2 linked regions of the Sus scrofa genome follow. The main gene of each other region encodes a partner of the protein of the gene in region 2 in a complex. Links are inferred from orthologs where the notes say so. Each region holds a gene or a part of one and is shown on either strand. Other genes may lie near its edges.

What was found.
Region 1: the proteins of PIGT (region 2) and PIGU are in contact, whole or in part, in a cryo-EM structure (PDB 8IMX), measured with the Homo sapiens proteins. The link is inferred for Sus scrofa from reciprocal best matches to the Homo sapiens genes PIGT and PIGU. Residues at the interface, in NP_057021.2 of Homo sapiens: Tyr361, Gly362, Leu363, Gln364, Lys365, Arg394, Leu395, Tyr396, Val397, His398, Tyr416, Pro418, Ala419, Gln420, Asp421, Arg422, Gln445, Glu447, Leu450, Leu451, Lys452, Trp453, Thr454, Pro518, Thr519, Pro520, Asp521, Phe522, Ser523, Met524; in NP_536724.1 of Homo sapiens: Glu30, Lys42, Arg43, Val45, Glu46, Ser49, Leu50, Leu53, Val55, Ser59, Gly60, Ala61, Val62, Pro265, Asp266, Leu267, Pro269, Leu273, Trp275, Tyr276, Phe277, Phe278, Ala279, Glu280, Met281, Phe282, Glu283, Phe289, Phe293, Asn296.

What each region holds. Positions count from the first base shown.
Region 1 is NC_010459.5:37,983,477-37,987,123, forward strand, and holds part of PIGU (phosphatidylinositol glycan anchor biosynthesis class U protein precursor), read right to left. Parts: intron 2,502-3,647; coding exon 2,377-2,501; intron 1-2,376. UniProt on the Homo sapiens protein: Component of the glycosylphosphatidylinositol-anchor (GPI-anchor) transamidase (GPI-T) complex that catalyzes the formation of the linkage between a proprotein and a GPI-anchor and participates in GPI anchored protein biosynthesis.
Region 2 is NC_010459.5:47,734,100-47,738,222, reverse strand, and holds the start of PIGT (GPI transamidase component PIG-T), read right to left. Parts: upstream 2,885-4,123; 5' UTR 2,844-2,884; coding exon 2,657-2,843; intron 2,109-2,656; coding exon 1,931-2,108; intron 671-1,930; exon of another isoform or gene 393-670; coding exon of another isoform or gene 262-392; intron 1-261. UniProt on the Homo sapiens protein: Component of the glycosylphosphatidylinositol-anchor (GPI-anchor) transamidase (GPI-T) complex that catalyzes the formation of the linkage between a proprotein and a GPI-anchor and participates in GPI anchored protein biosynthesis.

The DNA of each region.
Region 1 (3,647 bases), about 9.8 Mb from region 2:
ATGTGTATTTTAAAATCAGTATTCTTTTATCACTATAAAACAGTTAATAAAAACAAAATAAAGCACACACACACACAGACACACAATCCAGCCCTTTGGTAATTGGCTCTTTGAGCTGGACCACTGCAGGCTGGCACGGGCTCTGCCAGCAGGCTGTTCCCTAACACCGCAATTGCGCGTTCGTATGATTCATCCTGGCCCCAAGCCCCACAGAGTCCCAGCGTCTGGGACCTGCACTCAGGGAGGGGCCCACGTGCCTCTTCTCCCCACTGAGCCGGACAGAAAAACAAAACAGTGAATGTGCGAGCAGGCATGTTGGCACTGGAACTAATGTTTAAACTGAATTCTTAACCACATTAGAAGGCTGAATATATTCAACCTAGGCACACAGACTCTGCAGAATCTCCACAGGTCCAGGCTGAATGTAATGACTCACAGCTGCCATGCCCCAAACAGACATCGTGAGCACGAGTACCTTCTGCCACAGGAGCTGCGCCTCGAGAGGTGGCAGCCCAGGCTCTCTGCAGGAACCTTCAGATGAACTAAACTTGCCCAGCCAGCCAGCAACAGCATCTATTAGATCATCCAGGGTTTCAGAAACGCCATCCTTATTTTTTTGTGCCTCACCACCCCAGAGGGCATAAAATAGCTTATTTCAAGTTTTGAAAAATATGTTTATTTCAGTGACTCTGAATGACTGTGGGTACCAAGCCTAAGGCTGGCTTTGATCATAAAACTATGCAGGAGACCCCTCCGCCCTGCAACCCCTGCATAATTATCACTACTATTAATAACTGCAGTGCTATTTACATTTTCTTCTTTCTCAAACTTGAAACGCCCATGAAAGATATTCTCCCCATATGACAGATGAAAAAAACGGGAGGCTCAGAAAGGTTAAATAACTTGCTATAATGGGAAAGCCAGGACTCAGACTCAAGGCAATCTGGCTCCAGACCATGTTCAGCAATAGGAGATGAAAGATATTCCCCGAGGGAGATGCAGCCAAAAACGACTCCATTTGGAGGGGAAAGGGGATCAACATCCCCAAGACCCACCCTGTCACAAACTGGGGTAGGTTCCTATGCCCTGTGACTTGCCATTGGCCACTCTGCCAAGGGGCGCCAGGCGGACTCTGAGGCTGCTGGACTGGATGATTCTTGACTGTGTAATGAGGGTGTCGCAGGCAGAAGATGCCACTTCCTGCTTCCAGTCAAGCTGCCTGGCCACCACCCTACCAGGCATCACCTGCAGGAGCAGCAGGGCTTGGCCTGCCCACTCGCCTGTTTATCTTCACTCAGAGGCCCACTCCTACAGGTAGAGTTCTTTCTAACAGCTGATCAGTTTCACTTCCTGGTTGACACCCAGCAGTCCCAAAACAATAACAAAGACTTGCTTCCTCTGAAGTCTGCCCTGCCTGGGTTCATTCTTGACACCTTGCTGTGCACCCACCTTAGGCAAGGAAAGTTCAACAGTTCCCTTCCCGGTTTAGAGAATCGAGTGGTACTGGGCCACTGGCACTGCCTCTTTACTAGAGAGGTTTCAAAGAGCCAAGCACAAACATGTGCTGAGTTGTTCTGTGTGTCAGGTTTGATCTTGGGTGCTGGAGACACAGAGGTGAGGGAGCCATGAGCCTACCCTTGGGGAGCCCACAAACACTGAAAAGAACTCACATAGGGGGTGAAGAGCCAGACTGAGGGAGACACTAGGAAACACTAGAAAGCATAACTAGATCACCACTAGGCCACCTTTTGAGGAAGGGATGGTTAGAGCTTAAGGGGTCTTCACAGCAGGCAGGAAGTCTAATGTTGCCTGTCTGTCTTCTGTGGATCTTTCGACACACCACTGGGAAATGGTTCAAAGCCAAGGCCTAGTGCCGCACTGTCCAACACAACAGCTACTAGCTGTGTGTGCCTTCTTAAATTGAAGTTAAAAATTCAGTTTCTTAGCATACTGGTGGCTATTCTATGGGACTATCCACAGAAAGCCCAAATGGACAGCACTGGCTGGAGGCTCACAGGTTTGGAATCTGACGCCAGCCCTTCTACCTACCAGTCAAGGAACAAGTGGCTCTACTTTTCTGTACCTCAGTTTCCTCATCTGCAAAATGGGGATACTTTCTTCAGAGTCTGGTGTGAAGATAAAATGAGCCAACGTGTGTAACACTCTTAGAACCACAGTGGCCAGGTATACTGTAAGTGCTCAATAAACGTAGTTATTTTTATTATCATCACTAGTCCACAGCACCAAGGAGGCAGATATTGTACATGGTGTCCCGGCCGATCAGTGCTGCTAGCACAGCAAGTGCCTATTCATTCCTTTTTCCCTGGCCGGGGGACACCAATCTGCCAGCATGGGGTCAGAGGTAGGAGTACTCACATCTGTAGAGGTGGTTCCACACGGGGAAGAAGGCCATGTAGAGGGCCACATCCCCCACGGTCGGGTAGGACTTGAAGATGGAGATGATGGCAATCTGGATGAACATGAAGAAGACAGGGTGTTCCCTGGGGAAGGCGGGGCAGGGCAGACAGAGAGAGGAAGGTCAGTCAGGGACCAGGCCACCCCAGAGACTCCTGACCCCACCCCTCGATTCAAATCCAAAAGTACTCTCTGGGGTCTTCACAGAGGGCTGGCTCTGCTACCCACAAGACACAGGGCCAGGCCAAGTAGCAGAAGCAGAAAACTGCGGGGACCGGAAGATGCCCAGAGGTGGGGAGGAGAGCCCAGCAAACACTGAGAAACAGTCCACAGAGACACTTCCCATCAACCCCTCCCCCACCGCTCTGAGCCTTCCCCCAGGAGCTGTGGAGGAAGAAAACAAATGAAGTCAGCGTCCTTTATTACTGGGCTTAAATGACTGCTTGTCAGCGTAAAGAGGCAGCCGCCCTTGCCAGAGGCCCCTCTGACATTGGACCCAGGGCAGGAAGTGCCTCCTTGCTGAGGCTTTTCTCTCTGACAACATGGTCAGTGGGGTCCAGAGACCTTTAGCTATGATGAGCTCCTTTCCTGAAAGAGAACTGAGAGCTGCATGCAGCTTTTCGCTCTTAAGGGCTGGAAATGGAGTTCTTGCGTCCTTAATCTAGTAAGACTGGCTGCCATTTCCTAAACCCTCACTCTAAGTCTTATGCGAGGTCCTTTTCTTGCATCAATGCATGTGATCCTGACTACACTGCAACTGCACCTCGAGGTAGGCAATGCCGTCACTGCATTTTGCAGATGAGGAACTCAGGTTCAGAGAAGGTAAGCAGGTTCGTAAGTGGTGGAGTTATTTGTCTCCAGAACTGCTCAGCACCACCAATGCTGCTCTCCTGAGTGCCAGAACGACCACAGCTCTGATCAGAGAGGGTGAGACAGAACCCAATTTCTGGTGCTCCTCCTCTGAGAGCTGACCAAGGGCTGAAGGGAAGCCAACAGGAAGGCTTACACCTTCCTTAGTACCATCTAAACAACATGCACATGCCCTACTTCTGCCCAGTAATCTGGATGCCTAGCTCACGCAGCTTTTCCTCAGAGTAATGGCATTCTTGTCTGGCAGGGCAAAGGTCAGGGTGACTCAATGGGTGTAAATCTAAGATGTGGAGACAAATGTGTACACACCCAAATACTCTACAGCAAATGACTCTGAAACTCAGAGTGACAAAGTCACACAG
Region 2 (4,123 bases):
CAGGGTGGGATGTCTCACTGAACAAGGGAAAACAAGCATAAGCATCAAATGAAATTCGGTGTCAGAAAGACCAAAACAGAGTTGCTCTTTATAGTAATAATAGAATCAGATTAGAATTCTGAACATCAGCTCCATATTATAGGCAATTATGAAGGGAGATGTGACAGCGGAACGGTTGGGAGAGAAGGCAAGGAAGCCAGAGTTCAGGCAAGAGAGAAAGGCTTCGCAAGTTCAGGGGCTTGCTCCTCATTTGACCATCACCTTGGAGCTGTCCTGGGGTCTTTCAATAATACTCTGTTCAGAGCTTCCCAATTGCTCCAATCTTTAGGCCTCAAATAAAGATGGCAAACTGCAAGTTCAAAAGCTCTACTCAAACCATAGTCATGTTTCATTTGATATGCACAACATTAACCCACGTGACATTTCTTAAATTTTTAAATTACTCGCTGATATTTAAATTTGGCAAGTTTCACATTAAAATCCAGATTTCTGATATTGCTCAAAAAATGAGAGTATCAGATGACAGCAGGCTTCTATTCCCACATAGCCACATCCATAGGGGCTGAGTGGCAGCTGTCCTCCAGAGCTCGCCAGCCTGCTGCAGGCCCCACCTCTCTATTACTATCCTAATTTTTTTTTTGTTTTTTAGGGCTGCACCTGAGGCATATGGTAGTTCCCAGGCTAAGGGGTCCAATCAGAGATACAGCTGCCGGCCTACACCACAGCCTCGGTAACGCGGGATCTGAACCACGTCTGAGATCTACACCACAGCTCACGGTAACGCTGGATCCTTAACCCACTAACCAAGGCCAGGGATCTAACCCACAACCTCATAATTCCTAGTTGGATTCATTTCCTCTGCACCACGATGGGAACTCCCTGCTATCCTAAATTAAAAAAAAAAAAAAAAAAATCACGTATGAGCTACTGATTTCCCACAGGGGGGTTAAGAGGAAATGTGGTCCAATTGCAGTACCTAACCCCACCCCTCGCCCAAACAAAAGCAATTTTTCTAATACAGAAATCTGGCATCTTGTGGGCCAGTTCTAGTTCACACATATTTTGTTTAGTCCTCACGACATTTTATTATTATTATTATTATTTTTTTTTTGGTCTTTTGTCTTTTTAGGGCCAAACCCACGGCATATGGAGGTTCCCACGCTAGGGGTCTAATTGGAGCTGTTGCTGTTGGCCTATGCCAGAGCCATAGCAACGCCAGATTCGAGCCACGTCTGCGACCTACACCACAACTCATGGCAATGCTGGATCCTTAACCCACTGAGTGAAGCCAGCGATCGAACCCCCAACCTCATGGTTCCTAGTCGGATTCGTTTCTGCTGCGCCACGACGGGAACTCCTATTATTATTATTATTATTATTATTATTATTATTATGTGAATGAATGTCTTTTGGTTATCCATGGAGGAAGTTCCCATTGTGGCTCAGCCGTAAGGAACATAACTAGTATCCATGAGGATGCAGGTTCTATTCCTGGCCTCGCTCAGTGGGTTAAAGATCCAGTGTTGCCATGAGCTGCAGTGTAGGTCACAGATGCAACTCAGATCTGGCATTGCTGTGGCTCTGGCATCGGCGGGCAGCTGCAGCTCCGATTTGACCCCTAGCCTGAGAACTTCCATATGCCATGATGCGGCCCTAAAAAAAGGATCAAAAAAAGAGGGGGGGGGTACCGAATCTGCCAGAGCTTTCTATTGCCTCTATAGATATATGCACATGCTACCTTGGGTCTGGAAGTACTGGGGAAAAAGGTATATTCAGCCTAGGCAAGAATGCCCCCAAGTCAGAATATTTCTTGCATCCAACGCCAGATTTACCCCCATGGAATTGCTGCCAAGGGCAGTGGTAGGATGACAACACCTGCCCAGCCACATTCCCACCAAGGCCTGCCGCAGGCCTCAAGGTGAGCACTCACTCAGTGACAGTGTCTTGGAACCAGACCCAGAGCTCTGCACCTGACGGGGCCTGAATGAAGGGTGTCCCCCAATATCGAGTCCTCCAGAAGCCTTGGGTTAATGACAGGTGCAGCTCCCGCAGAGAATACTTGGAGATCAACTGCCCCAGGGCTTTGGGGAAGAGCCTATAATGAGACACTGGAGAAAAGGGAGCAGGTGAGTGATGATGATCCTGGAGGGAGGGTTCTCAGACACTCCAGAGAAACAATACACCCCAGCTCTGGGTTCAGAGGAATCTAAACTCCAGACCAGATTCAGTCACCTACTAGCAATGTCATCTTGGAAAGGTGCCTTTACCTCTCTATGCCTCCAATCTCTTTTTCATAACCGTTCACAGAACTTAGCACTGCGCCGAGCACCCAGGATAAATGGTCACCTCAAATTGTACCATCATCAGTGTTGCAACAGAGGGTTCTAACTAAAGGTTTAGAGTGGCAGCCTGGAGCTGCGGAAAGAGCACTGGACTAGAACTCAGGAGGAGTCACTCCCCCTCTCCAGGCCTCAATTTCTTCATCGGTACGATGGGATTGTTCAACAACTATTCTATCCTTCCGCGAGGACCCTGTTTGTCCGGCCCCACGACCAGGGGCCAGAATCTCATCCAGGAATCAGTCCCCGCCCCTAGGCTAGCCTCCGCCCCACTCCCAGCAGGTGTCACAGTACCTTTCTCCCATCAGCCTCCTCACCTTCTTCCCGCTGCAGATCCAAATCCCAGCGCGTGCGGAACTGGAATGTGGCGGCTACGTCCCCAGAAGGCAGCGGGGTGATGACAAGCTCCTCCCGCAGGCTATCGCGTGGGGATTCTGCCTGGCTCCAGCTGCCAGGCCCCAGGAGCAGCAGCACCGACAGAAAAAGCGGCACCGCCGCCGCCATGCCTGCGGCTGCTTCCGCCTCCCAGTAGTCCCGCCCCCTTGGATGGCCGGCCTCCAATAGGAAGAGCGTAGGAGAAGTGACTTCCGGTGCCATCCTGAAAGCGGGGGTCCGGCTACCAGAGCAAACGGCCTAGATGAGCCCCTTCAGGACTGGTGCGGGTAAAAGGATGCTGAGCCGGCACGATGGGTGGTGGGCACGTGAGGTGGCTCGGGCCTGGACTGAGGACCCCCTTCCCCGCGAGAAAGTGCTTAATAATATCGAGCGTCGCTGCAGCCATTGTCCCTCCGCTATAGTTGAAGAAACAGACTGGGTTCGATCCCTGGCCTCGCTCAGTGGGTTAAGGAACTGACCTTGCCGTGAGTTGTGGTGTAGGTCGCAGACGCGGCTCGCATCCCGCCTTGCTGTGGCTGTAGGCCAGTGGCTACAGCTCCCATTGTACCCCTAGCCTGGGAACCTCCATATGCCGTTGGTGCGGCCCTAAAAAGACAAAAAAAAAAAGAAAGAAAGAAAGAAAAGAATAAAGAAACTGATGAAAATGATTACTTTTGCGAGGTCGTACGGCCAGGCTCCTGCCTCCCTTAATTTCTTGTCTCTATTTGCTGGGCCTAGCCAGCTCTTCTGGTGCAGAACTTTTGCACAAAACTCTGAAATAATTCACCCTTTTATTATGAAAAATTTCAAACATACAACAAAGTTGAAAGGCTTAACACCTGTTTACTCATCACCCAGATTCCACAATTAACATGTTACTATGCTTGCTTTATCACAGTCTATAACTTCCTCAATTCATCTTAAGTTTTGATGCATTTCAAAGAAATTTCAGACATAAGGACACTTGCCCTTATATAGTTCAGCATCCATACCATTAACTAGAGTTCAATACTTGCTTACATTTTTCTTTTGATGTAAAACTTACAAACATGAATGCACAACTCTGGAGTGCACATTCACTGAGTCCAACAAATAGATATACATGTGTAACTGCTGTTATGTGTCTGTAAACCCCCTGAAATTTGGCTAATGTTCCTTGCCAGTCAATCCCTGGGCACGCCACCTTCCAGAGGCAACCACTGTTCTGACTCTTCTCCACAAAATGGATTAATCTGTTCTAGAGCTTCATATAAATGAAATCATCATTTGTTATGTATACTTTTTTGTAAAAGGCTTGCTTCAGGGGAAGAATGTTTTGGTGAGTCGTTCATCTTCTTGCATGTATGAGTGGTTTGTTTCTTTTCATTGCTGTGTAGTATTACTTTCTGAATATACTGTCATTTACCTGC